4 linked regions of the Saccharomyces cerevisiae S288C genome follow. The gene in region 1 interacts genetically with each later gene. Each region holds a gene or a part of one and is shown in the gene's direction. Other genes may lie near its edges.

Region 1 (9,083 bases):
TAAGGTAATTCATTTTCAGCGACAATGGAATATGCCCAACCTTTGTTACCGGCTCTTGCAGTTCTACCTACACGATGTACAAAAATTTTTGATGAACCAGGTAATGTGTAATTAATAACATTGGCTAACATTGGAATATCGACACCTCTTGCAGCAACATCTGTAACAACCAAAATGGAAGTTAAGCCCGCCCTAAAATTATATAATTGACGTTTACGAGCATGTTGGTCCAAAGTACCGTAGATGTACGAAATCAAGTATCCGCAGTCTCTTAAGAGTTGAGAAATGTATTCCACATGATGTCTTGTTGGAACGAACAGAATAGTTGCTTTTTCAGAAGGAAGTTCATTAGCTGCAGGCATTTTTTGTTTACGGAACTTTTCCTTCTTGAAATTCCTCCTCTTCTTTTGGCGATCATTTTCATCATCTGAGTCACTATCTGCCTCATTGTTACTATTTTGCAGCTTTTGAAGTTGTTCACTAGTGGCTAACGGAATCTTTATGATTTCTTGCAAAATATATAATAGGTTCGCCTCTCTATCTGCGTTTTTACTGGATAGAAAAAGCATTTCTAAGTTCTCTGAAACTTTCGTTTCCGCGTCCAAACGAACCAAAACTGGATTAACCAAACCAGCCTTAACAAAATCAACCAATGAATTAGGTAGAGTAGCAGAAAACAACAAAGTCTGTCTTGTTGTAGGCAAAGATGCAAGTAATTCATTCAACTGTTCTTGAAAACCCATTTCGAACAACCTATCAGCTTCATCGAAAACAACGTACTCAACACTCTTCAAATCGAGGTTCATTTCAACTTTCAGATGTAAAAATCTACCAGGTGTTGCAATAATAACGTCTGGGTTGGTCATCATCATGCCAAATTGTTCTTCCAAGGAATCACCACCAGTCAAGAGGACGCTTCTTAGTTCTGTTCCTCTGGCAAAATCCTTGAAAACGTTGAAAGTCTGCATGGCTAATTCTCTGGAAGGCGATAAGATGACTGCACGGGCGCCAATTTTACCTGAGTGACTTTTCAATTTTTCCACCATTGGCAAGATGAATGCTGCAGTCTTACCAGAACCGGTACGTGCCATACCAACAATATCCCTACTTTGCAAAATTAATGGGATAGTCTTCCTTTGAATAGGAGTGGGTTGGCGAAATCCCTTCCTTTTAATATTGTTCAATACAATTTTGGATAGGCCAAAGCTGGGAAAACTACCTTTTTTATGCTTTGTTTTCTCCAAGTTATTTGTGGAGAAATATTCATTGACATCATCCTCATCATCACCGGTTTGAGTTTTACCAGATGCATTGTTTTCATCATCTGACATTTCTAACATTGGAAATGCTGCTATTTCCTTCTTACTATTCTTTTTTTTCTTGATGTCCTTGTTTTCAGCCTTCTTCTTATTGTTCACTCCTTCTTCTTCATCTGAGCTGTACTCGATCACATCCTGGACATCGTTGGGACCATAATCAGCTTCAACTTCACTATCGGAGTCGTTAGCATCACTCTCACTATCATTTAAGGCAATTTCATTTGCAATATCAAAGGCGATGTCGTCCTCCTCGCTTCCATTGTCGTCTTGATCTTCGAGATCCCTTTTTCTTTTCTGCACGCCTGCCATATTCTAGGTTAAAGAGATATGTGGTGGTAACTTAAATGACAAAAGTACTTTTAGTGACTTTACTTCAAGCAGTAGGAAGTTAGTGAAGTACTAGTAACTCTCTGTAAAGCCATTTTGTATGAATTTCATCTCATCGCTTGAAAATTTTAAGAGCGCCGGGTAGTAACAATTGGTCTCTTATTTTTTTCTTTCAATAGTTGAGGCAAAACATTGCTTTATTGTAAAAGAATGAAAGTTTGGAAACATACAAGAACGTTAAAAATGTGAGCGTATTGATTTGGCAATCGATTCAAGTCAGATAACAATGCTGGCAAGATATTTAAATTTAATAGGACGGAGGAGTGCTTCACCGTACAGACCACAGCGGCTACCGGCAAAGTTTGACAACGTGATAGTGGCAATGTCATCTGGGGTAGATTCCTCTGTGGCGGCAGCACTATTTGCCGGAGAATTTCCAAATACCCGAGGAGTATATATGCAGAACTGGTCTGAATCACAATCTTTGGACGACCCTGGCAAGGAGCCATGCTACGAGAGGGATTGGAGAGATGTGAACCGTGTCGCTAAGCATTTGAACATCCGAGTTGACAAAGTTAATTTTGAGCAAGATTATTGGATAGATGTATTTGAACCAATGTTGAGAGGCTACAGTGAAGGGTCGACACCCAATCCAGATATCGGTTGCAACAAGTTCGTCAAGTTCGGCAAGCTGAGAGAGTGGCTGGATGAGAAGTATGGGACGGGTAACTATTGGCTTGTTACTGGTCATTACGCCCGAGTTATGCAGGAAATGAATGGAAAAGGATTATTCCATTTACTGAGAAGCATTTATAGGCCCAAGGATCAAAGCTATTACCTTTCACAAATCAACTCCACTGTTTTGTCATCTTTGTTGCTACCCATTGGCCATCTAACGAAACCAGAAGTACGAGATTTAGCGAAGTATGCAGGCCTCCCGACTGCAGAAAAGCCTGATTCACAGGGCATATGCTTCGTCAACAATTCCCAGCATGGGAAGTTCAAGAATTTTTTAAAGCACTACCTACCCAGTTCACCGGGTGATATCATTACCGTTGACCCACAATCCGGTGCCAAAACGACATGGGGCAGACACGATGGATTGTGGTCTTACACAATTGGACAGAAAGTGGGCATATCCATGCCACAAGCTGACCCTAATTACCAAGGGACCTGGTTTGTCAGTGAAAAACTAAGGGATACCAACGAAATCTTGATAGTCAGAGGAAGAGATAATCCGGCGCTATACAGTGACACTATGCGAATCGAAAACTTTTCGTCTTTGGGCCCCAGGGAGGACACTATAAACGCTTTCCAAAATACTGGTGCCTTGACATTACAATTCCGGTCCCTGCAGGTCCCAGTCCAAATTAAATCGTGCAAACTGAATCGCTCTGCCGACAACCTCGACATAACAATACACTTAGCCTCAAAACAACGTGCCATAACTCCTGGGCAATCGTGCTGTCTATATATCGACGATAGAGTCCTTGGGAGTGGGCCCATTTCCCATGTTAATAATAATGACACCCATGCATAGTGATGATAATGAATTTAGTATATCACCTTATACGATGCGCCGCAGCAATTAATCTTAGCAACATACTTGCCTAATTGAACCACGGTGGTACGATACAGCCAAGAAGAGCTCATGAAGCGGCTGACCATTTCGAAAAGTAATCTGTATATATGAAGGTCTTTTCCCTTGAATCATGTCTCAATAAGTAGTTCATTTTTTTTTGCCCTCTTGTTTTTCTTTTTCATTTTTTTAAATCACACTTTTTTTTCTTTTCAAGATTTATAAATCTTCCTTCCAGGTTTGAGCCGGACCCATTGTTTAATTAAAGCATAGAAGGCAACGAAGGAGTGGGTTATAGAATTAGCATTGCGGCAAAAACGTCATATTTATTAATATTTATTTGCGAAGGTCATATTCAACGCAATCGCACGTCCTCTTCCGTCTTTTTTCTAGCTTTTGTCCTTTTTTATTTGTCTACATCCCTTTCTCTACGGTATCCAGAAGAAGGTGTGTGTGTGTGTGTGTGTGTGTGTCTATAAAAAGCAGTAAGAGTCACCAAAAAAAAAAAACGACAAACAAGTGATCCGAAGTGTGACGAATAAAGCAAACTCTCCAACTCAAAATGATAACTGAGGGATTTCCCCCGAATTTAAACGCGTTGAAAGGGTCATCCTTACTAGAAAAGAGAGTTGATTCTCTCCGACAGCTTAACACTACCACGGTTAACCAGCTGCTGGGGTTGCCGGGGATGACCTCTACATTCACGGCTCCGCAACTGTTGCAGTTAAGAATAATAGCTATAACTGCGTCTGCCGTGTCCCTTATTGCCGGTTGCCTCGGAATGTTCTTCCTTTCTAAAATGGATAAGAGACGAAAAGTCTTCAGACATGATCTCATCGCATTTTTGATAATTTGCGACTTTCTTAAAGCTTTTATTCTGATGATTTATCCCATGATTATCCTTATTAATAATAGTGTGTATGCAACACCTGCATTTTTTAATACCTTGGGTTGGTTTACGGCCTTTGCCATCGAAGGTGCAGACATGGCCATAATGATATTCGCCATACATTTTGCTATTTTGATCTTCAAGCCTAATTGGAAATGGCGAAATAAAAGATCGGGAAATATGGAGGGTGGCTTGTACAAAAAAAGGTCATATATCTGGCCAATTACTGCATTAGTACCTGCCATTTTAGCAAGCTTAGCCTTCATTAATTATAATAAACTCAATGACGATTCTGACACCACTATTATACTGGATAATAATAACTACAACTTTCCCGATTCTCCCAGGCAAGGTGGCTACAAACCTTGGAGTGCATGGTGCTATTTACCACCCAAGCCGTACTGGTATAAAATTGTTTTAAGCTGGGGTCCCAGATATTTCATTATTATTTTCATATTTGCAGTCTACCTCAGTATTTATATTTTCATTACCAGTGAAAGTAAAAGAATTAAAGCGCAAATTGGAGACTTTAACCATAACGTACTAGAGGAAGAGAAAGAAAAGAAAAAATTATTTGGGCTCGGTCACTGGGGAAAAGCCAAATGGTATTTCAGATCCTATTTTAAATTGCCATTGCTACATCTTTTGAGAAATTTAAAGAATTTTTTCACCATTTCGTTCATAGATCCGAATGAGGAAACAGACGATTCAGGTAGTAGTAATGGAACTTTCAATTTTGGTGAGAGTTCGAATGAGATACCTACACTATTCAGAAAAACAAATACAGGTAGTGATGAGAATGTCTCGGCAAGTGGTGGAGTTCGCTTACTTGACTATAACAGTGCTAAACCACTCGATATGTCCAAATATGCAATGTCTGAACAGCCAGATTTGGAAAGAAATAATCCTTTTGATTGTGAAAATGACATCACACTCAATCCTTCGGAACTAGTATCCAAGCAAAAGGAGCATAAAGTTACTTTTAGTGTTGAAAATGAAGGACTGGATACAAGAAAAAGTTCAATGCTGGGACATCAGACTTTCTCTTGCCAAAATTCTCTAGAATCTCCTTTAGCAATGTATGATAATAAGAACGATAACAGCGACATAACTAGTAACATTAAGGAAAAAGGAGGCATCATCAACAACAACAGTAACAACGACGACGACGACAACAACAACAATAACGATAACGATAACGATAACAATAATAGCAATAATAATAATAACAATAATAATAATAACAATAATAATAATAACAATAATAATAACAATAACAACAACAACAACAATAATAATAATAATAGTAATAATATTAAAAATAACGTTGATAACAATAATACTAATCCAGCCGATAATATTCCTACACTTTCTAATGAAGCATTTACTCCGTCTCAACAATTTTCACAGGAGAGAGTGAATAATAATGCAGACAGATGCGAAAATTCAAGTTTCACCAACGTACAACAGCATTTCCAAGCCCAAACCTACAAACAAATGAAAAAACGTAGGGCACAAATTCAAAAGAATCTAAGGGCAATATTCATTTATCCACTGTCGTATATTGGGATATGGCTTTTCCCCATCATTGCAGATGCGTTGCAATACAATCATGAAATAAAGCATGGGCCTACCATGTGGGTGACATACATTGACACTTGCGTTCGACCATTAAGTTGTCTCGTCGACGTCATTGTTTACCTGTTCAAGGAAAAACCTTGGAACTATTCATGGGCAAAAACAGAATCAAAATATCTCATTGAAAAATATATTCTGAAAGGAGAGCTTGGTGAAAAGGAAATTCTGAAGTTTTGTCACAGCAATTGGGGGAAAAGAGGTTGGTATTATCGTGGTAAGTGGAAGAAAAGAAAATGCTGGAAATATTCTACAAACCCTCTGAAGCGTATACTGTGGTTTGTTGAACGCTTCTTTAAACAATTGTTTGAACTAAAACTACACTTTAGTTTTTATGACAATTGTGACGATTTTGAATACTGGGAAAACTACTATTCAGCCAAAGATTCAAACGATAATAAACGCACAGAATCTGATGAGACTAAAACGAATAGTAGCGATCGCTCCCTTCCATCAAATTCACTTGAACTACAGGCAATGCTTAATAACATCACGGCCGAAGAGGTTGAAGTGCCCTTGTTTTGGAGGATCATTCATCATATTCCAATGCTTGGCGGAATAGATCTTGATGAGTTAAACAGATTGTTGAAAATACGGTACAATAACGACCATTTTTCTCTACCCGGGTTGAAATTTGCATTAAACCAAAATAAAAGTCACGATAAACATCAGGACGTCTCAACTAACAGTATGGTCAAATCCAGCTTCTTTTCAAGCAATATTGTCACAAACGATGATGAGAATAGCATTGAAGAGGATAAGAATTTACGCTATTCAGATGCTAGTGCATCTGAAAATTATCTGGTCAAGCCCACAATACCAGGTACGACTCCTGATCCAATAATTGAGGCGCAGAACGATAATGATAGTAGTGATAGTAGCGGCATAGATTTGATAGCCTTCTTAAGAAATGGACCATTATAAAGTTTTTGTATCGCGATGTTTGAAAATGGAAAGTAAGGAACGTAATACAAATTGACAAGTAGCCGACATGAATGACGCTCACTTCTCTTATATATGTTAGGTAGTATATGCATTATAGAATTTATTCATTGAAGCAATGTGATTCCTCGATAAGTAAGCTTTTTTTCTGTCTGGCGGCGAACCATTAGAGAACAAAAGACCGAGTTAAGAAAAAGTTCATAAAAAACTTTTGAAAATGGATGAGTGCTCGTATAATGGAATAGGAAACTTATGCAAAGAAATAATAGGTTAAGAAATTTGTTTACAGTGCCAGTAATAATGGCTCGACAACTCAAAAGGAATGCATTATCTGCAGGTCTTGCTTTTGCAGGTAATGCAACCTCAAATGAGTTTGATGAACATTTGCAAAATGAGGTTGAAAGAGAGAGGGAAATTCAAAAGAAAAAAAAAATAAAGCGAACTCAATCAAAAAAATCGCCAGATTTGATTAATAAATCTACTTTTCAATCACGAACGATAGGCAGCAAAAAAGAGAAACATAGACAACTAGATCCAGAGTATGAAATTGTCATCGATGGCCCTCTAAGGAAAATCAAGCCCTACCATTTTACGTACAGGACCTTTTGCAAAGAGCGTTGGAGAGATAAAAAATTGGTTGATGTCTTTATATCTGAATTTCGAGATCGTGAATCTGAATATTATAAAAGAACAATCGAAAACGGGGACGTTCATATAAACGATGAAACTGCGGACTTATCTACTGTAATTCGCAATGGTGACCTGATTACGCATCAGGTACATAGACATGAACCTCCAGTCACTTCCAGGCCTATCAAAGTTATTTTTGAAGATGATAACATAATGGTTATTGATAAACCGAGCGGTATACCTGTTCACCCAACTGGCCGATATCGGTTCAATACAATTACGAAAATGCTTCAAAATAATCTCGGATTTGTTGTGAACCCATGTAATAGGTTAGATAGGCTTACAAGTGGATTAATGTTTTTGGCAAAAACTCCGAAGGGAGCCGATAATATCGGCGATCAACTAAAAGCTCGAGAAGTCACTAAGGAATACGTGGCCAAGGTAGTTGGAGAATTTCCAGAAACGGAAGTAATTGTTGAAAAACCTCTAAAACTGATCGAGCCAAGGCTTGCTCTTAATGCAGTTTGTCAAATGGACGAGAAAGGAGCCAAACATGCAAAAACTGTTTTTAACAGAATCAGCTACGACGGTAAAACGAGTATTGTAAAGTGCAAACCGCTTACCGGGCGATCACATCAAATTAGAGTACATTTACAGTACTTAGGCCACCCAATTGCTAACGATCCTATTTATTCCAATGATGAAGTATGGGGTAACAATCTCGGAAAAGGCGGCCAGGCTGACTTCGATATAGTTATTACTAAGCTAGACGAAATAGGGAAAAGAAAACCTGCTAAAAGTTGGTTCCATAGTAATGGCGGGTACGGTGAGGTATTAAGGCAAGAAAAATGTTCTATTTGTGAATCTGATTTGTATACTGATCCTGGCCCCAATGATCTTGATCTGTGGTTACATGCCTATCTATACGAATCAACTGAGACTGAAGAAGGAACCGAAAAGAAAAAGTGGTGCTACAAAACAGAGTATCCAGAATGGGCTCTGAGAAGATAGAGGTTCCTGACTTGTCGGACAATAATACATAGAAAACTGGTCTTCTGTTATAATCAGTCATTGGCCAATCAAAAATGACAGTAACAGAACATCACGCTACAATCTTAATCTTAATTTATAAAAAAGCTAAAATCTTTACAGGAGGAAGACAATGAGATGTGAAGAATGACCACTTCTCCTTTTCTTTTCCATTTCTTTTCTTCCACACTCCTAGTATTCCCGGTAGTATTCTTTTCGCAACCTAAAATTTCACGTAGCAGAGAAAATCGGAGTCTTGAAAGTGTTAACCATAAAATTTCATTGATAAAATGATCTTCGAGGCTTTCTGCTATCCAAATCCACGTTTCTTTTTATTTATTTATTAAAAACCATAAAGTAAAAACTTTGTTAAGGCTTGGAAGCGACCGAGCGCAGACCGCTTGTGTCATCGATTACTCAGATAGGAAATCTTTTATTTATCACCCGCTGAAGCACGCAGCAACAACCGGTTGACCGACGCAATTCTTTGTTTACTTTTCCTTCTACTCATGATCTTCTGTTCCATTTGCCACCCGATCGAAGAAAAAATTTTACGGCCAGTTGCTTCTTGGGCGTAAGGCTCCGATCTTTACGAAGAAATCTTAATTTTTGCCTGAAAGCATGGCTTAAAAGCCGAAAAAGCAAAACTTAATGATTGACAGATCTTTTTTAGGAAATTTTTTGACGGTGAAAAACCCGGCTTCTAGAAAAAAAAACGATGGGAAAAAAGAAC
Region 2 (8,095 bases), 180 kb from region 1:
TATAATTATATTATTATTAACAGAGTTTGATTTCTTAGTCAAATATTCTGGTAGATAAACTTGAGGATATCGTATTTCAAAATTAATCTGGAATGAAAAAAAAAACCTCTTATAATACAGTAGTTTTAGTTTTCCTTGAAAGTTGATCAGGGAATTCGCTAGGAAAACTTATGCAGAAAAGCAAATATAAACAAATGGTTAACTTTGGAGGGTTTTTATCTGTTTATATCGATCCTGTTCAAATTTTATTGGAAAATGAAAGGAATAAAAAAAAATGGAAGATAAAACTAACAAAGAGAGTCGATCAGAACAACACAGATATGATTTCAGTTAATGAACGAATCGGATGTTCTTATGATACCTCTGTGAGAGCAATTAATGTTCTTGCTGCACTCTAAAGGACGATACAAAGCTGGCGGTGAATGGTGCTGCACGCTCTTCTTGTTTGTCCACTTGTTGCCACTGAACAAACTAAGGAGAACCGACGGTCGAAATGAAAAAAAAAAAATGTTTAAAACCGACAATCGTCTTTAGTGAGTAAAGTCATGCGGGTAATGGAGGTCCGGGTTACCGTATGATAGTCCCTAATATAGACTCATATATATATATATATATTCTGATGGTAATGAAATTCGAATATACGGCATTTTAGCACCTTAATCTCGTAATATCCTTTTCGAGAGTTTGGCCTCGTACTTCTTGAAATCTGCGTCTATCAATTTCTCGTCTTTTTCCTCTTCAGTGTCGTTGTCAGCATCCACCTCTGAATCGCTTGCCTCGCTATCGTTAGCCCAAAGAGTATATTCATCATTTTTATCACCATCTTCCTCGTCGCTGATGTCGATAATGTCTCTGAGCACGCTTGTGTATTTTGTTCTTTTATCTTTCGTGCTGTTGTTGGCCGTCAGCGTCTTGATATGCCCATTATCTTCAACTATTTCACCAGTTTTCAGGTCTACGAGGTCTCCTTGTTCTTCAATAGACTCGTATTTGCTTATGATGTTGGACCACACTTTTCTCATGTTTTCGTCTGCTAGTTTGTGGCGCTCCATGACTTCATCATCGGTTAGTTTAGGGATGATGTGGTTTTCCTTGGACATTATATACACATGACCATTTCTTTCAGCAATTGGCCGTGAAATTCCATCGTCCTTTTTGGTCTTCCGTTTTTCGATATTTGGCGGATATACTCGATGAACAGGATTGCAATCGCTATGTTTTCGTATTTTGGACTCACTCTTCTTGCCGGACTCTTTCAATAGTCCTTTTAAGGCACCATGGAGATTTTTCAGGCTTCTTCTTTTAGAAATTTTCTTATTGGTTTTCATCCTTCTGTTAATTTGTAGTGGAGGCGTCGATATGCTGTATCCCACTTTTTGTTTATATATCATCTGATCCATTAGCTGAAAAATCGCGGTACTGAAGCTTTTTTCATGGCGCCCTTGAAACTTTCTCCTTCCGCCTGCGCATTATATAAAATACGTTACAATAGGAAAAGATGACAGTTACTTAAAGTAAAGCTTCACAGCTTCAGACAAAAAAAGTATGAAACTTGTGAAGATGTTTTTATGCTGATCCGGCAGACGGCCATTCCATTATTTAGTTCTGATTTTAGTGGAAAAACTTTCGAAACTTAAAATAATAATAGCCCATTCTTGGACTGAGGTACATTTTCTTCTTATTGGATTTCGTTTATTAGCTGTTTAACATATTTCTGTAGGGTTTTTTTTTTTTTTTTTGTACAGATTAGAAACCATACAGTGTAAACCATTATATAGGTCAATTAATATATTTATAGATCATCCTGTCAATTTTTTTTTATTTTTTTTTGCAAAGCTCCCTTTTTCCTGAAACCAACAACAAAATATAAAAAAAAAATGATAAGCAGGATTTTTTCTTTTAATAATTCCTTAAAATTAACTAACAAGCTGAAGCCCTTACAACAAAGTAAGTCAAACCCAATTCACAAAAAAAAAATCTGTTTTATTTCAGATATGCAGGGTATATACATGGCACAGATAACCTTTTAATGAAAAGTAGCAATTGTGATACTAGCGCCTTTTTCCTTGCAAGAAAAGGGTTCCCTGTTCCTGCATCGTCCATCGGCATAGAGATGTCGCCGCTACCCTATCCAATTCTACCGCATGCCTAACAAAATGATTTCCGATTTTTTCAATCTAACTCCGTCATTTCTTATCTGAGTTTTCCTCCCCGAGATAAATTGAACAAAGAATTTAATCGGCTCATATGTGAAAAAGTGTGATACTTACCGCAATGGGCAAAAATTATTAAAAAAAATCTAATTCCGCGCTTGGCTATTATCTCATTACCGACTCAACGGTGACTACCTGCCGTACACGCTTCCCCTTTGCTTCTTCCTCCACCTCGAAAGTAGAACATATACATGGAACAGACATAAGCTCTTCAGCGTATCTATTTCATAAGTGGAGAGCATCGAACAATAAACCTTTGCCTAATTTCATATAACATCCAGTATTCATTTTTTTTAGTTGACGCTAAGGCATTCGCTTGTGAAATTAAAGAGCAGATCAGGAATAGTATCAATAGTCTAAACCATCAAGTTGCACAGAAACCACTATATATATATGGAAATATCTCGAATATTGCTTGTATGAACGATAGCCAAAACTGCCTACGACAGAGGGAAGAAAATAGTCATCTGAATCCTGGAAATGACTTCGGCCACCACCAGGGTGCAGAATGTACGATAAATCATAACAACATGCCACACCGCAATGCATACACAGAATCTACGAATGACACGGAAGCAAAGTCCATAGTGATGTGCGACGATCCTAACGCATACCAAATTTCCTACACAAATAATGAGCCGGCGGGAGATGGAGCTATAGAAACCACGTCCATTCTACTATCGCAACCGCTGCCGCTGCGATCGAATGTGATGTCTGTCTTGGTAGGCATATTTGTTGCCGTGGGGGGCTTCTTGTTTGGGTATGACACTGGACTTATAAACAGTATCACGGATATGCCGTATGTTAAAACCTACATTGCTCCGAACCATTCATATTTCACCACTAGCCAAATAGCCATACTCGTATCATTCCTCTCCCTAGGAACATTTTTCGGTGCGTTAATCGCTCCCTATATTTCAGATTCATATGGTAGGAAGCCAACAATTATGTTTAGTACCGCTGTTATCTTTTCCATCGGAAACTCATTACAGGTGGCATCCGGTGGCTTGGTGCTATTAATCGTCGGAAGAGTGATCTCAGGTATCGGGATCGGGATAATCTCTGCTGTGGTTCCTCTTTATCAAGCTGAAGCTGCGCAGAAGAACCTTAGAGGTGCCATCATTTCCAGTTATCAGTGGGCTATCACTATTGGGTTACTCGTGTCCAGTGCAGTATCGCAAGGAACTCATTCCAAAAATGGCCCGTCTTCATATAGAATACCAATTGGTTTGCAGTACGTTTGGTCAAGTATTTTAGCTGTGGGCATGATATTCCTTCCAGAGAGTCCAAGATATTACGTCTTGAAGGATGAACTCAATAAAGCTGCAAAATCGTTATCCTTTTTAAGAGGCCTCCCGATCGAAGATCCAAGACTCTTAGAGGAGCTTGTTGAAATAAAAGCCACTTACGATTATGAAGCATCGTTCGGCCCGTCAACACTTTTAGATTGTTTCAAAACAAGTGAAAATAGACCCAAACAGATTTTACGAATATTTACTGGTATCGCCATACAAGCTTTTCAACAGGCATCTGGTATCAATTTTATATTCTACTATGGAGTTAATTTTTTCAACAACACAGGGGTGGACAACTCTTACTTGGTTTCTTTTATCAGCTATGCCGTCAACGTCGCCTTCAGTATACCGGGTATGTATTTAGTGGATCGAATTGGTAGAAGACCAGTCCTTCTTGCTGGAGGTGTCATAATGGCAATAGCAAATTTAGTCATTGCCATCGTTGGTGTTTCCGAGGGAAAAACTGTTGTTGCTAGTAAAATTATGATTGCTTTTATATGCCTTTTCATTGCTGCATTTTCGGCGACATGGGGTGGTGTCGTGTGGGTGGTATCTGCTGAACTGTACCCACTTGGTGTCAGATCGAAATGTACCGCCATATGCGCTGCCGCAAATTGGCTAGTTAATTTCACCTGTGCCCTGATTACACCTTACATTGTTGATGTCGGATCACACACTTCTTCAATGGGGCCCAAAATATTCTTCATTTGGGGCGGCTTAAATGTCGTGGCCGTTATCGTTGTTTATTTCGCTGTTTATGAAACGAGGGGATTGACTTTGGAAGAGATTGACGAGTTATTTAGAAAGGCCCCAAATAGCGTCATTTCTAGCAAATGGAACAAAAAAATAAGGAAAAGGTGCTTAGCCTTTCCCATTTCACAACAAATAGAGATGAAAACTAATATCAAGAACGCTGGAAAGTTGGACAACAACAACAGTCCAATTGTACAGGATGACAGCCACAACATAATCGATGTGGATGGATTCTTGGAGAACCAAATACAGTCCAATGATCATATGATTGCGGCGGATAAAGGAAGTGGCTCGTTAGTAAACATCATCGATACTGCCCCCCTAACATCTACAGAGTTTAAACCCGTGGAACATCCGCCAGTAAATTACGTCGACTTGGGGAATGGTTTGGGTCTGAATACATACAATAGAGGTCCTCCTTCTATCATTTCTGACTCTACTGATGAGTTCTATGAGGAAAATGACTCTTCTTATTACAATAACAACACTGAACGAAATGGAGCTAACAGCGTCAATACATATATGGCTCAACTAATCAATAGCTCATCTACTACAAGCAACGACACATCGTTCTCTCCATCACACAATAGCAATGCAAGAACGTCCTCTAATTGGACGAGTGACCTCGCTAGTAAGCACAGCCAATACACTTCCCCCCAATAAAAACCAATAGCATCTTACGATCGTTCGAGGTCTTATAAACCGTTTTATATAAATTATTCTTATACACGCACTCTTGAGTTTCTTTTAACATTCCAACATGATAGACATAGAAAAGAATTATAGATAACACATAACATTACTCACAAGTAGCCCATGAGTTTGATTTTTCCTCGTTAATTCGGTGTCAAGTGGAATACAAAATGGGTCAACTGATCATAACTATTACCCGGATAATCTACATCATGTGGTACGTTAACGATGTATGGTTTCCTAAATCACCGGGTTCCAGATGCGGGTTGTTGTTGTTCGATCTTGCACCTCCACGTACTCCTTTTGAATAGTACACATATACCCTTACAGGAGATCGGACGTGTGCGATTATTGTTACCTCGTCACCTGTTATCGGTTGAACTGTTTTAGCTCTTTCCATTCCCTTTGTTAATAGTAGTTTAATTCTTCGGAAACTTTCTACGCAGACTCAAGTTGCAATAGGCTAAAGATAAGGCAGACACTTTGTATGTAACGAGTTTCATTAGGAGGGATAGACGCACGACACTATCTGGTACTACGTGTTATATCATACCCAGAAGGAAGGACTCTCTCCACTGAACGGTGGGATGAGTTCCTAAAGGCGCCCCTTTATTTGATCAGGAAGCCGTATTGATTATCTAATAGGGCCTAGTTATCCTAATTGTGGGGAGTCGAGCAGTACGGCTCTGATGTTTTTCGAACGAAGATAAGGAGTTGACATACAAAGTCAACAGAAGTTCTTCTTGTTAGCGTCTCTGTGCTCAATATCTCTCTTTTTTTCTTTAAGTAGTAATTACTAACATCAGCCAACCAATAGAGATAAAAAAAAAAGGAATTAAGATTTCATAGAGAAAAGATGGGTCTATACGCTTCTAAGTTATTCAGCAATCTTTTTGGCAACAAAGAGATGCGTATACTTATGGTTGGTCTAGATGGTGCCGGTAAGACCACCGTTTTGTACAAGTTGAAGTTGGGCGAAGTTATCACTACCATTCCAACCATTGGTTTCAACGTTGAGACTGTCCAATATAAGAACATTTCCTTCACTGTCTGGGACGTCGGTGGACAAGACAGGATTAGATCTTTATGGAGACACTACTACAGAAACACCGAAGGTGTTATTTTTGTCATCGATTCCAACGATAGATCGCGTATTGGTGAAGCCAGAGAAGTCATGCAGAGAATGCTGAATGAAGATGAATTGAGAAATGCTGTCTGGTTAGTCTTCGCTAACAAACAAGATTTGCCAGAAGCCATGTCTGCTGCTGAAATCACCGAAAAATTAGGTTTACATTCTATTAGAAACCGTCCATGGTTTATCCAGTCTACTTGTGCAACCTCGGGTGAAGGTCTGTACGAAGGTCTGGAGTGGTTAAGCAACAACTTGAAGAATCAATCCTAATCTAAATCTGTATAGAACGTTTAGTCATGCGGACCTTGTGTGTTTTGTTTCTAGATTGTTTTATTTTTATGATTGTTGAAGATATAAACCACTGTATAGTTGTATAAGATAGGATAATGATGGTGCACTGAAAATAAACTTACTAGCTCTTTAATATTGCAACGGCTTGTAACGGGCGCCATGATGACATTCAGAATTATACCACTACTATATGAAAAAATGAAAAGAGGCCCTGCTTTGAACCCGTACATTTTATTCTATAATATTGCATCTGTGGTTTGCCTGACGGCAGCGAGTCCAACACAAAGTCTGGCATATGCTACGAATTTTCCACCATGGATTCAGCACCCAAACATTTGAATTTTTTTTCATGTCGATTGTGAAATTTTACTGAAGATGAGGGTAAATAGAGGCCTGCAATCGTCATCATATGAGAAATGGATATATTGAAAATCTACTCACATCTCTTTTTTGGGGGTTTGGTAGTACAGTGAGAACACGATAAAGAACCAAATAGGACTAAAAATGGTATGTAGAGATGAATATACATGAAACGGACGTGATATAATGTGCTATGGAAGAAAAAAGTCTCCTTTAATGTCTGCAGGATAAATAATCAAGTGGTCTGAAGAAAATTTACAGCTACAGTATTACTGCAAACCTTGCAGGCAAATATCAGAGAGATCTCACCAGCTACAACTTGGTAACAGAAATTTATAAGTTTATGGCACTTGTTAAAATTGTTTGGAAGTTTTCGAAATTATAATATTGGTCTTCAGAAACCTGGAACCACATGTGAACTATTTTTTTTGGATAATGCATTGCACAGAGCGTATTAGTGTATACGAGAATCTAAAAATTTGAAACTGGCTCATAAAAACAGGAACTTTTACTAACAGTTATGATTTTTTGTTCCCATTTTCTTATCAATAGGCCGGCGTTAAAGCTTACGAACTAAGAACCAAATCCAAGGAACAATTAGCTTCTCAATTGGTTGACTTGAAAAAGGAGTTGGCTGAATTGAAGGTCCAAAAGTTGTCCAGACCATCTTTGCCAAAGATCAAGACCGTCAGAAAGAGTATCGCCTGTGTCTTGACCGTCATCAACGAACAACAAAGAGAAGCTGTTAGACAATTATACAAGGGTAAGAAGTACCAACCAAAGGACTTGAGAGCCAAGAAGACCAGAGCTTTGAGAAGAGCTTTGACCAAATTCGAAGCTTCCCAAGTTACCGAAAAGCAAAGAAAGAAGCAAATCGCTTTCCCACAAAGAAAGTACGCTATCAAGGCTTAATTTCGTTAGATTATCATTTTAATATTTGATTTTTGGATATAGTTTAATTTGTATTTTTTAAGAACACCAAACGGCAATTTATTTTATTAGTGATCTACTAGCTAAATCAATATACTACATTAAATTTTTATTTGCCATCTTTGTCATAGGATCCGACGTCATAATCAGTCAGGAGCCCTACCCCTATACTTCAATTTGAAATTAAGAAAAAAAAAGTGTAGTAGAACAGGAAAGTCGTATTAATCCATATGTAGATAAAGGTATGCTCTTGTTTATACAGGCCATATCTACATTGTGCATTTCAAGAACTTATTATTTTTTGACAATTTCGACCCCCCAATTTAAAGTCAAGTGGTTAGTTTTATCATCATCAATGAATTTTGATACGGCACTGTAGTTACCTCTTGCTAAAAACCCACTAGGTGCTTCACTTTCCGGTAGTTCCA
Region 3 (7,689 bases), on another chromosome or scaffold:
ATTGTTGGGTAACCTTCAATTACGACGCCTCTGACATCGTTTTCAGTGTGGTCTAGTTTAGCAATCAAAACGTCGGATGTGGCGTTGGCGTAGGTATCAGCTAGTTCTTGGTAAGTTGGGGCCAATCTCTTACAGTGACCACACCATGGGGCATAGTACAAAACAAGAACGTCCTTCTTTGGGTCGTTGACGATTTCGTCATGGTTCTTACCGACCAATTGGAAGACAGAGGAATCTTGGTTCTCGAAGATCTCTTGGGACTTCACGATTGGGGAGGCATCACCTTTCAAGAAGTCCTTAACCAAAGATTCAATAGCCTTAGACTCCAACACGATCTTGTCGCTCAATTCGTCAAACGCCTCTTCAGAGAGTTGAGGCAAACCGTACTTCAAGTCTTCAGTCATGTCGTGGATGGCAAATAGAGGGAATTGTTCCTTCATGTTCAAGTTGCCGGCGTGTCTGCCGAATTTTCTGGCATCGATGCTAACAAAGTTCATTAGACCTCTGTTCTTTTTGGCCAACTCGGTAAAGAGAGGCTTGTATTCTTCCAATTCTTCCTCGTCATTGTAGAATAAGTAACCCAAAGGCAAACCGCTTTCGACGTATTGGGCGAAAACGGAACCGTCGATTTCACCAAAGTAGGGCAAGGCTTCCACTTGCAACCATTTTTCAAAAACATCAGCGTCAGCGATATCGGCTTTCTTACCGTTGTATACTACAGGCTCGTCCATGGCGGAGGGCAAGTAAATAGAAAGCTTGAAATCATCGTCTGCGTTTTCAGCGGAGACAAAGTCGTAGTCGTTGAAGTGTTTGTTGGCCATGGAGTAAAAGGTGGCGTTGAAGTCGGCGTCAATCTTACCGGATTGGACGATAACTGGAGTGACAAAAGTCTCGTTAGCAAGGTAAGCTGGTAGATCAGCAACAACGGCGACAGCCGGTTGGCTTTGCTTGATCATGAATTGGACAATGGCCTCGGCAGTTCTAGGTCCCTCGTAATCGATCGAGTTGTTAACATCGCTGTTTTTGAAAATCTTCAAGCTTGGGAACCCTGGAATGTTGTGTTCCATACACAGATCCTGGTTTTCAGTACAGTCGATCTGGGCCAAGGTAATGTTTTTCTCAACTAAAGTCTCGGCGGCTTTAACGTATTCAGGAGCCATGTTCTTACAGTGGCCACACCATGGAGCAAAAAACTCCGCAAGCACCAAGTCGTGCGACTGAATGTACTCATTGAAGGAGTCGGTGGCCAACTTAACGACAGCGGAGTCTTCAGGGGCCACAGCCTCTTGTTGGGCGAAAACAGAGGAGGCGAGCAGCAGGGAGGACCATGACAGGACGGCACCAGCAGAAAACTTCATAACGGGATAGATGTATGTTTTTCTTTATGTAGAGCTTGGCAGCTTTAAAATTACCAATTAGACATGCTGCTTGCAACAAGAAAATGCACGCGTAACAAAATATATATATATATATATATATATATGTATGTCCATACGGGTTTTTCGTTTTGTTGTGGTTGTAACAGCACAACAAAATGCTACACGGTGGCAAATTGGAAAAAGAGACTAGTGAGAGAAAAGGGAAAAAGAGGCGCCGCCCGACAGGGTAACATATTATCACGTGCAGCCCAGGATAATTTTCAGGACACGTGTTTCGAAAGGTTTGTCGCTCCGAAAAAATCAAAAAAAACAAAAAACGGGAAATAACAATAACGACAAAAATGGAAAAAAAAAAAATTTTAGACGCGGCGCTTGCACCCCGCATTATAAGTGGTGTGCCGACGGACGGTCAACCCCTTTCAGGGGGCCCCCTATCTTGGGCGTGGTGTCACACCACGCTCAAACGGTGGGCACTAATGAAAACGCGCCCATATAAATATCCGCTATCAACAGAACCCCCAACCCCCCCATCAGTGCCCAACTCAGCTTCCGTAAACCACAACACCACCACTAATACAACTCTATCATACACAAGATGTCATTCGACGACTTACACAAAGCCACTGAGAGAGCGGTCATCCAGGCCGTGGACCAGATCTGCGACGATTTCGAGGTTACCCCCGAGAAGCTGGACGAATTAACTGCTTACTTCATCGAACAAATGGAAAAAGGTCTAGCTCCACCAAAGGAAGGCCACACATTGGCCTCGGACAAAGGTCTTCCTATGATTCCGGCGTTCGTCACCGGGTCACCCAACGGGACGGAGCGCGGTGTTTTACTAGCCGCCGACCTGGGTGGTACCAATTTCCGTATATGTTCTGTTAACTTGCATGGAGATCATACTTTCTCCATGGAGCAAATGAAGTCCAAGATTCCCGATGATTTGCTAGACGATGAGAACGTCACATCTGACGACCTGTTTGGGTTTCTAGCACGTCGTACACTGGCCTTTATGAAGAAGTATCACCCGGACGAGTTGGCCAAGGGTAAAGACGCCAAGCCCATGAAACTGGGGTTCACTTTCTCATACCCTGTAGACCAGACCTCTCTAAACTCCGGGACATTGATCCGTTGGACCAAGGGTTTCCGCATCGCGGACACCGTCGGAAAGGATGTCGTGCAATTGTACCAGGAGCAATTAAGCGCTCAGGGTATGCCTATGATCAAGGTTGTTGCATTAACCAACGACACCGTCGGAACGTACCTATCGCATTGCTACACGTCCGATAACACGGACTCAATGACGTCCGGAGAAATCTCGGAGCCGGTCATCGGATGTATTTTCGGTACCGGTACCAATGGGTGCTATATGGAGGAGATCAACAAGATCACGAAGTTGCCACAGGAGTTGCGTGACAAGTTGATAAAGGAGGGTAAGACACACATGATCATCAATGTCGAATGGGGGTCCTTCGATAATGAGCTCAAGCACTTGCCTACTACTAAGTATGACGTCGTAATTGACCAGAAACTGTCAACGAACCCGGGATTTCACTTGTTTGAAAAACGTGTCTCAGGGATGTTCTTGGGTGAGGTGTTGCGTAACATTTTAGTGGACTTGCACTCGCAAGGCTTGCTTTTGCAACAGTACAGGTCCAAGGAACAACTTCCTCGCCACTTGACTACACCTTTCCAGTTGTCATCCGAAGTGCTGTCGCATATTGAAATTGACGACTCGACAGGTCTACGTGAAACAGAGTTGTCATTATTACAGAGTCTCAGACTGCCCACCACTCCAACAGAGCGTGTTCAAATTCAAAAATTGGTGCGCGCGATTTCTAGGAGATCTGCGTATTTAGCCGCCGTGCCGCTTGCCGCGATATTGATCAAGACAAATGCTTTGAACAAGAGATATCATGGTGAAGTCGAGATCGGTTGTGATGGTTCCGTTGTGGAATACTACCCCGGTTTCAGATCTATGCTGAGACACGCCTTAGCCTTGTCACCCTTGGGTGCCGAGGGTGAGAGGAAGGTGCACTTGAAGATTGCCAAGGATGGTTCCGGAGTGGGTGCCGCCTTGTGTGCGCTTGTAGCATGATCTTTTTACATTTTTTTGGTTTGTGTACGTATCCCACCGTACTTACCATCTTCTCTCCTTTATATATATATATATATATGTATATTTTCAGTGTATATACATACATTCTTATACAATACCGTATAAGAACGTATGTATGTATGTATGATTTTCTCACATTAATGAACAATATCATCGGAAACGGGCCTTTGGTTTTTAAGGGAAAATGAAGAACAATAAATGCCTTGCTAGGTCTTCCTTTATCATTTTTGGAAGTCAAATATGAAAAACACTTCCAAGGGGGCGTACTACTTCAACTAATAAAATGTCACACACTAATAAGATCGCATACGTGTTGAACAATGACACGGAGGAAACAGCCTCGCCCTCTTCCGTTGGTTGTTTTGACAAGAAACAGCTCACTAAATTACTGATACATACTCTAAAGGAGCTGGGCTACGACTCCGCCGCTAACCAGTTACTGCTAGAGAGCGGCGGATATCAAAATGAGTCTAACCACATCCAGACTTTCTTCAAACTCATCAAGACCGGCCAATTCCATCTTATTAATTGGCAGATTGTTTGCTCGCTGCCCCTTGCCCATAGCTCTCCGCTAAGGTCCGAATGGCTTCAAAGGCTGCTCATTCCCACGCCGACGCCCGCCACGACTTCACTTTTCGACCACATGCTCCTGCAACTGCAATACCTGCAACAGCTGATGAGCTCTGTAAATTCATCTACTTGTTCGGACGCAGAGATCGCCACGCTCAGAAATTACGTAGAGATCATGATTCTAGTTAATAGACAAATATTCCTCGAATTCTTCCATCCAGTCACAAATTCCGCCTCTCACAAGGGCCCTCACACTGCACTGCCCGTCCTGTATTTGCGCAAAATCCTCAAAAACTTCATCGAGATATGGGATTCCCTGCTGGTGTCTAACGATCAGTTCCTAAATGAAGAAAACATCTTCAATCCGGAAACGACCTTGAGAGAACTGTCGACGTACCTGACCAACCCAAAACTAACCGCGCAGTTGAACCTCGAGCGAGACCATCTGATTGACGCCATCTCCAAATATATCGATCCGAACGAACTCGTTCCCAAGGGTCGTCTCTTGCATCTCTTGAAACAGGCCATCAAGTATCAACAATCACAAGACATTTTTAATATCATCGATCCGGATGATGACGCCTCTTTCTCCTCTCCACCCCACCGGATCAACCTTTTGCAGGATAACTTCTCACACGATCTGACTGTGACCTTTCAAGAATGGAAGACTATCCAAGACACCACAGACGAAATTTGGTTTTTGACATTTTCGCCCAATGGCAAGTATTTGGCTTCTGCGACTTCCGAGTCTTCAAGAGGCTACTTCATTACTGTTTATGATGTGGAACAAGACTTCAAAATTTATAAGACTTGCGTGAGCTTGTCACAATCCGTATTGTACCTCATGTTTTCTCCTGATAGCCGGTATCTGGTTGCTTGCCCTTTCAGCGAAGATGTTACCATTTACGACATGAATGCCACCTCCCTGCCCGATGCGTCTGCCACAGACTCGTTCCTACTATACCCTTCTACCAGGCTCTCGCCCATGGACTCGTTTAAACTGGACACCACCACGTACCCAGATGATACCGAATCATCAGCATCATCTTCCTCGAGGCCGGCAAACGCGAATTCTAATCAATCAAGAGTATGGTGCTGCGATGCCTTCCACACTGCGGAACGTGCGGGCTGGATGGTGGTTGGATCGCCCGACAGAGAAGCTATTGTACACTCACTCACCACGAAAGAGTCACTTTTTAGCTTAAAAGGCAGGACTTGTATCGCGTTGGGCCACGATGAAAACATCTCTGGGAGAAAATCAATCGATCCTGCAAAAGTCCTTTACAAACCAACAAGTAGCAATGGTAACTGGCAATATGTGGAGGACGACGAAACCTTTCCACGTGTGCACGACGTGAAAATCAGCTATGACGATAAATACGTGCTTTTAATGACCCACCAGGGCGTTATAGATGTCTACGATTTCAGTGGGTTCCCCTCCAAAGAGGAGCTATCTAAGCAAACAGTGGATCCCAAAAACTTTCTGATTCCAAGGATCGCAAGATTGGACGTGGGCAAAAACATGACTTGTATCTCATTACCGCTAAATACCACGCATCAAGGCTTCCATAGGCAACAAATATCCGAGTCTCAACATTTGGTATTAGTTAGCCTTCAAGATAACGAATTACAAATGTGGGACTATAAAGAAAATATTCTCATACAAAAGTACTTTGGACAGAAGCAACAGCACTTTATTATCAGATCTTGCTTCGCCTACGGTAATAAGCTTGTCATGAGCGGATCAGAAGATGGTAAAATTTACATTTGGGATAGAATTAGAGGTAACCTAGTATCTGTTTTATCCGGTCATTCCACGGTAATGAGTAATTCCACAAAACCCATGGGGAAAAATTGTAACGTAGTTGCATCAAACCCTGCAGATAAAGAAATGTTTGCTTCTGGCGGTGATGACGGTAAGATAAAAATCTGGAAAATTTCAAGAAATTAATACTCCACCTTATATATATACGTAAGCAAAGTTTTATGTAACAAAAAAAAAAAAAGAACTAATCCAACCTTCTTTCACTTTCAGGTAAAACTTGACTGAGTTCTTCAGCCTCTCTTCTACCTCTCTTGACATCCAAACAGTTTAGCACAGGCAATGATAGCATCAAAAGCAAAAAGAAGAAATAAAACGAATAGCGAATATTATGCGTTTTATCGGTAAGCAGTCCAACAAGGAAGGGTCCCAGGATGGACGACCCCTTATCTGTGATACTGAACATACTAAAAAACGTGGATTCTTTTCCTGGAGGTACAATCAAACTGAAAACTGATCTTGAAACCGCGGACAGGCCACCTAGTGATAATCCATACCAAATGGCCAATAAGAACATTTCAAACTTATGCTTTAAACCGAACGCATTGAAGAAAAATCCAAGAATACCATAAAATGGTATGAAACTTGCCCAAATGATAATGTACATCAAAGTTTGACTAGAAGTCCACCGAAACTTTGTGGCAAGAAATTGTGGAATCATAAAGGCACCCAGCATTGCATTTACAACGGTCAAAACACTTATCATGATTAAATTGAGGGTACTCATGTGCAGTTCTGCCTTGGAGAACAAAACCGCTGTAGAATTTATAGTTGTAATGGAATCACTAATAATAAACCACGCAATAAGAAAAATCATCACATCTTTCAATAGTCTGGCATGTTTAAACGATTCGAAAAGCGAAACCCAACCATATGAAAGGTAATTCTTCCAGTTTAGTTGACCCAAGGCGTCTTGCTCACCGGGATACGGACTGCGGGCGGATGCTAATGTAGAATCGTCAACTCTTATCGGTATTGTCACATCGTCAATCAACCAGATCATGGGCAGTTGCCACACAAACCACCAAATCCCAACGAAAAGAACAGCCACTTGAACATCCTGCTTACTGCCCTTTTTAGATGCGACTAAGAACATAGATACAATCTGAACAATGAGGGCACTTGAATAACCTAAAGATGCACCTCTACCGCTAATAACAGTAGTTAACGAGTCTACCTTATCAGGTTCATAAGCTCCTTGACTTTGACATTTCAAAGAATCCTTGACAAAAATGGGCAGAAGAGAATTCCCAACAACATTGATAACGCCAAAACAACCATTGGCCACTATATAAAGCCCAGCCAGAGAATAAATCTGGGTATCATTCAATTTTGAAATCGCAACAGTCGACAATGCGCCCACAATACCAAACCAAACCAGAATTCTGCCTTTGAATTTAACGCTCCCCCAGAGATCTACTATCCCTGAAACGGAAATGACTATTATAGTTTGGAATAAAACGCTAAGGGAAAAGACATATAATGCAAAACTTGAAGTATCTACGAAGATCCGATTGTTGAACAAACCAAGAACACACTTATCTGAATCACTACCCGTTTCTGACAGGCAGGGTATGGAGTGATCGTGAACTTTTACACCATTTATACTCGCAAATTGCTGCAGTAGTAAGGGAATATACGTTGAAACCGCAGAAACGACAAATGGTTCGCTAGAAAATGAGTAAGCGTACCATCCCTTGATATTGTTTTGGGCTTTTTTTATTCGATAGTTCGTTACCGATTCATTCATATCATTTATAGTTCCATAGCTCATATCTAATGTAGAGAATATGTTATGA
Region 4 (7,580 bases), on another chromosome or scaffold:
AATCTCAATCAAACCCATTGAAGCTTTTGCAATTCTAATTAAACGTGCACAGATCTTTTCCATCACGCTAACACATGATAAAAACTTCGTGTAGATCTTTTCGATGAAGAAATCAAATATTGAGAAGAGTGCGTATATAATCAATTAAGAAAAGTAACAAAGGTTGACGTGACTTTACTATAAGTGTATAATACCACTTAGACCGGAATGTCATCTTCCCGGTACTATTGATTGAAGTTTTTGCCTACTGAGTCTGTTTTAATCTTGAACAGCCAAAAATAATCCAATTGTCAATGAGCAGGTTGATTTTTATTACGCTAGTCTTGATGGACATTGTTTTGGCTTTAGACATCATAGAAAAGAGCAAAACAGTTACTGTCTCGACGAATTACCATGAAAAGCTCACCATCGAAAAAGATGTTTATTTAAGTCTCGTAGGTAGCTTTCACAACTTCTATTCTGATATGAAAGTAAACGGTGGTCTCTGTGTGTGTACGGATGATTCATCTATTAGAAAGAAAAAACAATAGTGCAGTAGGAAATTTTGAGAATCATTTTAATACCCTTATGGGTTTGTAAAGGAACACCGTTTGGAATTCTTATATGGGAAGGAGAAACCTTCAAGAAAATGGGAAATATAAGTAGGAGAGGTACTCATTTTTCTTCTAGTAGCTCCCAAAGTTTAGCAATTTCATTTTCAGTAATTCCTGCAATTTGCAGACGCAGGTTATCTGCAGTTCGGCAAAGAGCATGGAAGGTACCATAATAAATACCGATATTATTGCAGCTGAATCAGATCAATTAACCATATATATCTTATCCCACAATTTAGCATGATGGGTAATGGATGTCTTTGGGTCTGAAATTACCGCATTTTTTATATCGAAGATTTGAATAACATTTCAGTGGAGGAACAAACTATTGTTTTGTCATCAGAACCAAATGCCATTGTACTAGGATGTTTCGCAGATTTGCCTAGTCGTCAACCTCCAGTACATCGTTAAAAATCAGAAATTGCAAGACATCAACTTGGTTCCATGATAATAATCTAAAAATCAAGTCAATTCAAAATGGAATATTAGCTGTGACAACCATTGGCAGGAAGTACATTTTAGACTTTGGGCCTGGATATACAAGGGATCATTTTTTCATGGCTAATACTCCAGTGACCACTCAACTGTGGCAAAGCGGTAGGCCAAATTAATGCCGAAGTATTACGTACTACGAAAGTTAAGACTATGCTCTTTGCATATTCAGGTTGCCTTGCCCCTCAATGCATACCTGATATTAGTAGTTTCAAGGCGCTTCCATTCCGTGACACTGAGAGTCGGTTTACTACCGACTCTTCCGTAATCTCGAGCCGTTTTTCAAGTAGCTTTACGAGTAGTTCGAGCAAAATTATTATTATCACTTCTATTTTTTCCTCAAAAATGGATAACGAACATGTAGGTGCCTCTCTAATTGTTTCTTTGAGCATGGCTAGTCTAATCTTAACTAATGTGTTCAGTTTTAGCTCTACTAGCTATTCCTCGCAACCATCTGATTATATTGCATGCTCCCCCAGTGGTATTGATGACCAACCTGTGGCTGAACCTTCTGGATACACACCTGTTGGCTCCTCATCTCCACATTCTGGTTGTATTACTTCTGGTTTGGATGCAATAGGTTACCAATCTTCACTTAATGAAGGCCAATCGACGAATGCATCTTCCAGATTCGTCACAAAAGTTTACAGTCATTCTGCCTTAACTCATATAATTTTACATTTACTCAGTATCCTTCAGAAGTTTTACCTACAAGTAAGCACCATTTCTTAAACGATGCTATTACTGGGTTTGGCGAGATTACACTCTATTCAATAAGCAGTAGTAGGCAGTATTCCAGGAATCCTGCCTGTATTTCAAGCAAACTTACTGTACTTTCTTTAACCACCACTATTACACAATCAGCAAGTGACTTGATTAGTCAATCCATAAAATACATATTTTCTGTTTCATCTGGAAATAATACACAATTGACCAGTAAGGAAGCACTAAATACATTTTTTGATTCCTCAGCTAGCACAAAACTTACAATTCAAATACTTATAAGCCATCTTTACATCGATTGTATAGTGAAAGGGCAACTAGAACTCCATTTTGTGAGCTTCTCGATGATGAGCTTTTCAGACAGCAGCAAATCTAAAGGCCATTAACTAAATCAAGTTTCAGTGCCACTATCCTCACTTTGAGCTCTAAAATTGCATTTAGAGGACACTTCCTTATCTCGTTCTCGATTCAAAGGCCTTCTGAAAACTTCAGTAATGTCTGTATGCAAACAAGTAACCTGACTCCAACACTTCTGGATTTTAGCACTGCAGCCCAAAACAGTGCACCCAAGGAAACTTTAAATTCTATTTAATTTTCGGATGCGTTTAGTCAATTTTCTACTAATACCGCCACTCCTAATATAAGTGGTTCTTCCAGTCAAATTTTCAATCATGCTTCTCCCAATCTTGTAAGTAATGTTATCGTACAATGGAAAAGTGCATCAGTCCGTCTATCGTCATTCACATTCACACCAGCATTTTCTAGCGGTGTTAGTACTGTAACATTACGATAACGTCACTCAATATTTATTGAACACATTAGATGCAGAATACTTTACCCGTGGTTCATCTAGCTTCTTCGAAAGCGACAGTAGCAAATCTGAACCTCAATCCACGGGCGTTTTAGTTGCTTCTAGCCAATTCTCAAATGATTCCTTCATAACCTATTTGGACCAGGTATTCACTAGTACCACAACTCCAGTCAGTGCTTTTAGTAAATTTTCGCATACCCCCACTATTGGTACCTCAACTACTGTAGCTAGTAAAACTTCTGATATATTCAATTCATCATCTCTCAGCATTGTTAGAACGGTTGCGCACAAATAGCAGTACTCAACATGTATCTAGCACATTAGCCACAGAATACTTAGCCGCTGATTCATCTATTTTGTTCGAAAGTAAAGATAGCAGGTTTGCATTACAACCAACTTACACAAATCACAAGTATTTTTGGCGATCCCTCAAGCGATTCCCGCCTAATCCGTTCTAATTGGATCTCGACTAATATCACAACTTTAGCAAGCTCCATCAGCAAAATTGCACATATCATTGCAACCAAATCTTTGATTGATTCACCGACCAGCATTCAAACGGACACTGTTATTGTAGTATTTATTAGCTCAAGGGCTGTCACCCCTATAAACTCTAACATTATTTCTGGCCCATTCTTGAGTACTTATTTCCTCTTCTCAGGATACAAGATCTTGTACATTAGTTCCCTTTGTCTTATCCGACTTGTTCGCAATTCTTTAGGCTCAATGGCTAGCTCTAGCCAATTGTCTGCTCAACCTGCTTATACTACCTTAAACGATTTTACTCCGGCCAATCCTCCTGTGCAATTGTCAGACAGTTTGATTCTGTCAGTCATATTCTGACCTACAATTTGACGCTTTCGCCTTTTAACTCATTGAGCAAAAATAATACCGTCATTACAACACATCCAACAATCGAAAAACTGGCTAGTTCGACCACTAAAATGCTAAGGCATAGTTCTAGAGTGCTTCCCGGGTTTCGGATAAATCAATATATTAACAAAGCGAGCCACTTCACCGTCCTCTTTTGAACCCAAAGCTTCTAATATATTCTTCACTTTAACTACTTTCATGACTATATATAAAGAATGGACAATCGCTTTCACAAGCACATATTTCACCAAGTATCTACACTAAATGTCAACAACGTTAGGATGGTGGAAGAGCAATTAATGATTTTAGTACCCTGGTGTCCATTCTCCAGACCTGGCGCCGTGGATAAAACTACGAAGACGTTTGTGGCATCTTCGTTGTTGGACATCCATACATAAGTCGCTTCTGCTACTGTTAAACATACTTCTGTGCCCATAGCGGATAATAATATATATACAAGGAATATCATCGGGCGTCTAAGTTTTGGCATTGAATTAGTGTTTGGTCTAACTAGAGGTACTGATGTAGCCGTCACACCAGGATTTACCAAAATCGTAATCTCTACCAACAGCACCAGTGCAACTCCGCAGAACACTACAGCCGGGACCAAAACACATGAAAGCGGTTCGCTTCCAGCACCAAAAGCTACATCACCTATTCCCGGAGTTATTCTTTGAGCGCACTTCTTTTTAATAGTACTACTTTCCGGCCATTGAATTATGCCGAGAGCTGACAATTTAGTATATTACTGTATATCTAGTTCATTCTTCAAAATAAAGAATGCATAACCATTTTTTTATGTTTTTTCCGGAATTGGCTAAATTCACAAAAAAAAAGAGCATAAAGCGAATTGAATTGTCTCGCCAAGAAAACGCACTGAGAGGACGATTGATCCTCCAGACAAGATCGGAATTTTTACTTTTCTGTTTTTAACAATCACTCATGTGCATTGCACCTTACACATGGCGTTCCAAAGGCTTACCTGGTGTGTTTTCTTCCATGCGCGATTCCGTGCTCACCGCGGCTTCGCCTATATTCTACCTGTACTCTACACGTTTATTGTTAAACAACCCCGGAATATCTTCCATGCCAGTTGTTTCAGGAACAAAGCCCGTGTTGCAAAAAAAGAATGGCGTGGGGTGGGGTGATTATCTAGACCATGGGATGCAACTAGGAAAGTTAAAACTCACCTAGCAAACTGCTGTAATTTCCGCTTCAGAAAACAAGCTCGACTTTTACCCCACGAAGCCTAACCATCGAAAGTAAGACAAAAATTAGCAACCGAAACAGACGGTTAGAATTTTTCTTCGCTGCAGTAAAAGCATTGGCGCCCAGTATTCTCCTTGCACCTGGTCTTACCTCGAACTTTTCTTTTTACATCTTTTTCATTTTTTTACTTTTACCCCGCATCCTGCAAACCCCGGAAATTTTATTAGGAATAATTTATTTCCCGGTTGGAAATAAACCGGAAAAATGAAGATTTAGACGCTTTTAAGGAGTACGTGTTCCTGTCGTTTATCCACTAAGTATACTGGTTGCCCCTGGCCAGATCTCAGTATAGCAGTGACGCGTGGGTTTCAGGAAGAATGGCAGTCCCCTTTTGTTTTTCCGCATTGTGTGAGCTTCTTATGCCCCTGAACCCCACTATTCTGCCCCTTTGAAACTCCCGCACGTGTGCCCCGTTTGTTGGAAGATAGCGAAATACCTTACTGGAGCAACCAGGAAAAATACTCTGGTTGCAAAAACCAACAAAAGAAAAAATGGAAGACCTAAGAACTATGCATTTTTTTTTAAGGGGTTGATGAAAAGAAAAAGTTTCTTTCTCCCCCCGGATTTTGGTACCTTAGGACCGTTGAGAGGAATAGTAACAAGTGAACGCAACAAAGATTGTTCTCAACTGCTTCTGTTTCCTCCTTTTCTTTAAAGAGGAATATTTCGTATATAAGCAATCGGTTTCACTTCCTTGGGAATATTCTACCGTTCCTTCATCTTGTATTCTTCTCTTTCTCTTAGCGCAATATATAGCAGAAGAGCAATAAGAAACAATTGTGGCTTGCAATACTCAATTAGAATTCTTTTCTTTTAATCAAACTCACCCAAACAACTCAATTAGAATACTGAAAAAATAAGATGGTTCATTTAGGTCCAAAGAAACCACAGGCTAGAAAGGGTTCCATGGCTGATGTGCCCAAGGAATTGATGGATGAAATTCATCAGTTGGAAGATATGTTTACAGTTGACAGCGAGACCTTGAGAAAGGTTGTTAAGCACTTTATCGACGAATTGAATAAAGGTTTGACAAAGAAGGGAGGTAACATTCCAATGATTCCCGGTTGGGTCATGGAATTCCCAACAGGTAAAGAATCTGGTAACTATTTGGCCATTGATTTGGGTGGTACTAACTTAAGAGTCGTGTTGGTCAAGTTGAGCGGTAACCATACCTTTGACACCACTCAATCCAAGTATAAACTACCACATGACATGAGAACCACTAAGCACCAAGAGGAGTTATGGTCCTTTATTGCCGACTCTTTGAAGGACTTTATGGTCGAGCAAGAATTGCTAAACACCAAGGACACCTTACCATTAGGTTTCACCTTCTCGTACCCAGCTTCCCAAAACAAGATTAACGAAGGTATTTTGCAAAGATGGACCAAGGGTTTCGATATTCCAAATGTCGAAGGCCACGATGTCGTCCCATTGCTACAAAACGAAATTTCCAAGAGAGAGTTGCCTATTGAAATTGTAGCATTGATTAATGATACTGTTGGTACTTTAATTGCCTCATACTACACTGACCCAGAGACTAAGATGGGTGTGATTTTCGGTACTGGTGTCAACGGTGCTTTCTATGATGTTGTTTCCGATATCGAAAAGTTGGAGGGCAAATTAGCAGACGATATTCCAAGTAACTCTCCAATGGCTATCAATTGTGAATATGGTTCCTTCGATAATGAACATTTGGTCTTGCCAAGAACCAAGTACGATGTTGCTGTCGACGAACAATCTCCAAGACCTGGTCAACAAGCTTTTGAAAAGATGACCTCCGGTTACTACTTGGGTGAATTGTTGCGTCTAGTGTTACTTGAATTAAACGAGAAGGGCTTGATGTTGAAGGATCAAGATCTAAGCAAGTTGAAACAACCATACATCATGGATACCTCCTACCCAGCAAGAATCGAGGATGATCCATTTGAAAACTTGGAAGATACTGATGACATCTTCCAAAAGGACTTTGGTGTCAAGACCACTCTGCCAGAACGTAAGTTGATTAGAAGACTTTGTGAATTGATCGGTACCAGAGCTGCTAGATTAGCTGTTTGTGGTATTGCCGCTATTTGCCAAAAGAGAGGTTACAAGACTGGTCACATTGCCGCTGACGGTTCTGTCTATAACAAATACCCAGGTTTCAAGGAAGCCGCCGCTAAGGGTTTGAGAGATATCTATGGATGGACTGGTGACGCAAGCAAAGATCCAATTACGATTGTTCCAGCTGAGGATGGTTCAGGTGCAGGTGCTGCTGTTATTGCTGCATTGTCCGAAAAAAGAATTGCCGAAGGTAAGTCTCTTGGTATCATTGGCGCTTAATGAAAAAAATGTAATGAAATATAAATGTGTTTTTCCCTCCCTTAATATTATTATTCTTATGAGTGATGCCCTTATGTTTTTTTTGCGGTCTAGTATATGTAAATATAGACACACACATATATATATATTTATGTGTATAATCCTAGCTAATAAACATTTTTAGATTGTTATTAGTATAATTTTTTCCACTTACTTTGTTCTCCGGGAGAGAAAAAGTTGTTTATTTTGTAGTAATTTTGTGCACATATTATATATACAAATATTACACAATATTTTCAATACTTATGGCATAATCCATTGCTTTTTCGATAATGTTTGTCTTTTGGTCTTCTTCATGCATCATTTCATCTTCGTAATCAGCTTTCTCCTTTGATTGGTTATTGAAGTAAACTTTCGAGTTGACAATAGGCCAGTTTCTCTCTAGTGCAAATTTTTCAGTTTCTTTTTCGTTGTTGAAAAAGAGCAAAGCCTTTATGTTGGAGAGAGGGAGAAAGTCGTAG

Evidence for each region.
Region 2: of GPR1 (region 1) and RGT2, changing one enhances a phenotype caused by changing the other (phenotypic enhancement), as found in Saccharomyces cerevisiae (3 studies listed by BioGRID, with this or other methods).
Region 3: of GPR1 (region 1) and GLK1, changing one enhances a phenotype caused by changing the other (phenotypic enhancement), as found in Saccharomyces cerevisiae (2 studies listed by BioGRID).
Region 4: of GPR1 (region 1) and HXK1, changing one enhances a phenotype caused by changing the other (phenotypic enhancement), as found in Saccharomyces cerevisiae (2 studies listed by BioGRID).

The regions. Positions count from the first base shown.
Region 1 is NC_001136.10:386,762-395,844, reverse strand, and holds GPR1 (Gpr1p), read left to right. Parts: upstream 1-3,787; coding exon 3,788-6,673; downstream 6,674-9,083. Other genes in the region: ATP-dependent RNA helicase DBP10, read right to left, coding at 1-1,628; SLM3 (tRNA-5-taurinomethyluridine 2-sulfurtransferase), read left to right, coding at 1,933-3,186; pseudouridine synthase PUS9, read left to right, coding at 6,944-8,332. UniProt on the Saccharomyces cerevisiae protein: Seems to associate with GPA2 and act as G protein-coupled receptor that senses glucose and controls filamentous growth.
Region 2 is NC_001136.10:210,719-218,813, forward strand, and holds RGT2 (glucose sensor), read left to right. Parts: upstream 1-2,632; coding exon 2,633-4,924; downstream 4,925-8,095. Other genes in the region: SCM3 (Scm3p), read right to left, coding at 657-1,328; Arf family GTPase ARF2, read left to right, coding at 5,811-6,356; 60S ribosomal protein uL29 RPL35B, read left to right, coding at 6,882-6,884, 7,290-7,649; RDI1 (Rdi1p), read right to left, coding at 7,962-8,095. UniProt on the Saccharomyces cerevisiae protein: Low-affinity high glucose sensor that is part of the sensor/receptor-repressor (SSR) glucose-signaling pathway, which detects extracellular glucose and induces expression of glucose transporters that bring glucose into the cell.
Region 3 is NC_001135.5:48,864-56,552, forward strand, and holds GLK1 (glucokinase), read left to right. Parts: upstream 1-1,974; coding exon 1,975-3,477; downstream 3,478-7,689. Other genes in the region: protein disulfide isomerase PDI1, read right to left, coding at 1-1,358; YCL042W (uncharacterized protein), read left to right, coding at 1,721-2,080; glucose-induced degradation complex subunit GID7, read left to right, coding at 3,782-6,019; ATG22 (Atg22p), read right to left, coding at 6,078-7,664. UniProt on the Saccharomyces cerevisiae protein: Two isoenzymes, hexokinase-1 and hexokinase-2, can phosphorylate keto- and aldohexoses in yeast, whereas a third isoenzyme, GLK, is specific for aldohexoses. All glucose phosphorylating enzymes are involved in glucose uptake.
Region 4 is NC_001138.5:253,092-260,671, reverse strand, and holds HXK1 (hexokinase 1), read left to right. Parts: upstream 1-5,622; coding exon 5,623-7,080; downstream 7,081-7,580. Other genes in the region: YFR054C (uncharacterized protein), read left to right, coding at 1,239-1,817; proteasome regulatory particle lid subunit RPN12, read right to left, coding at 7,343-7,580. UniProt on the Saccharomyces cerevisiae protein: Catalyzes the phosphorylation of hexose, such as D-glucose and D-fructose, to hexose 6-phosphate (D-glucose 6-phosphate and D-fructose 6-phosphate, respectively).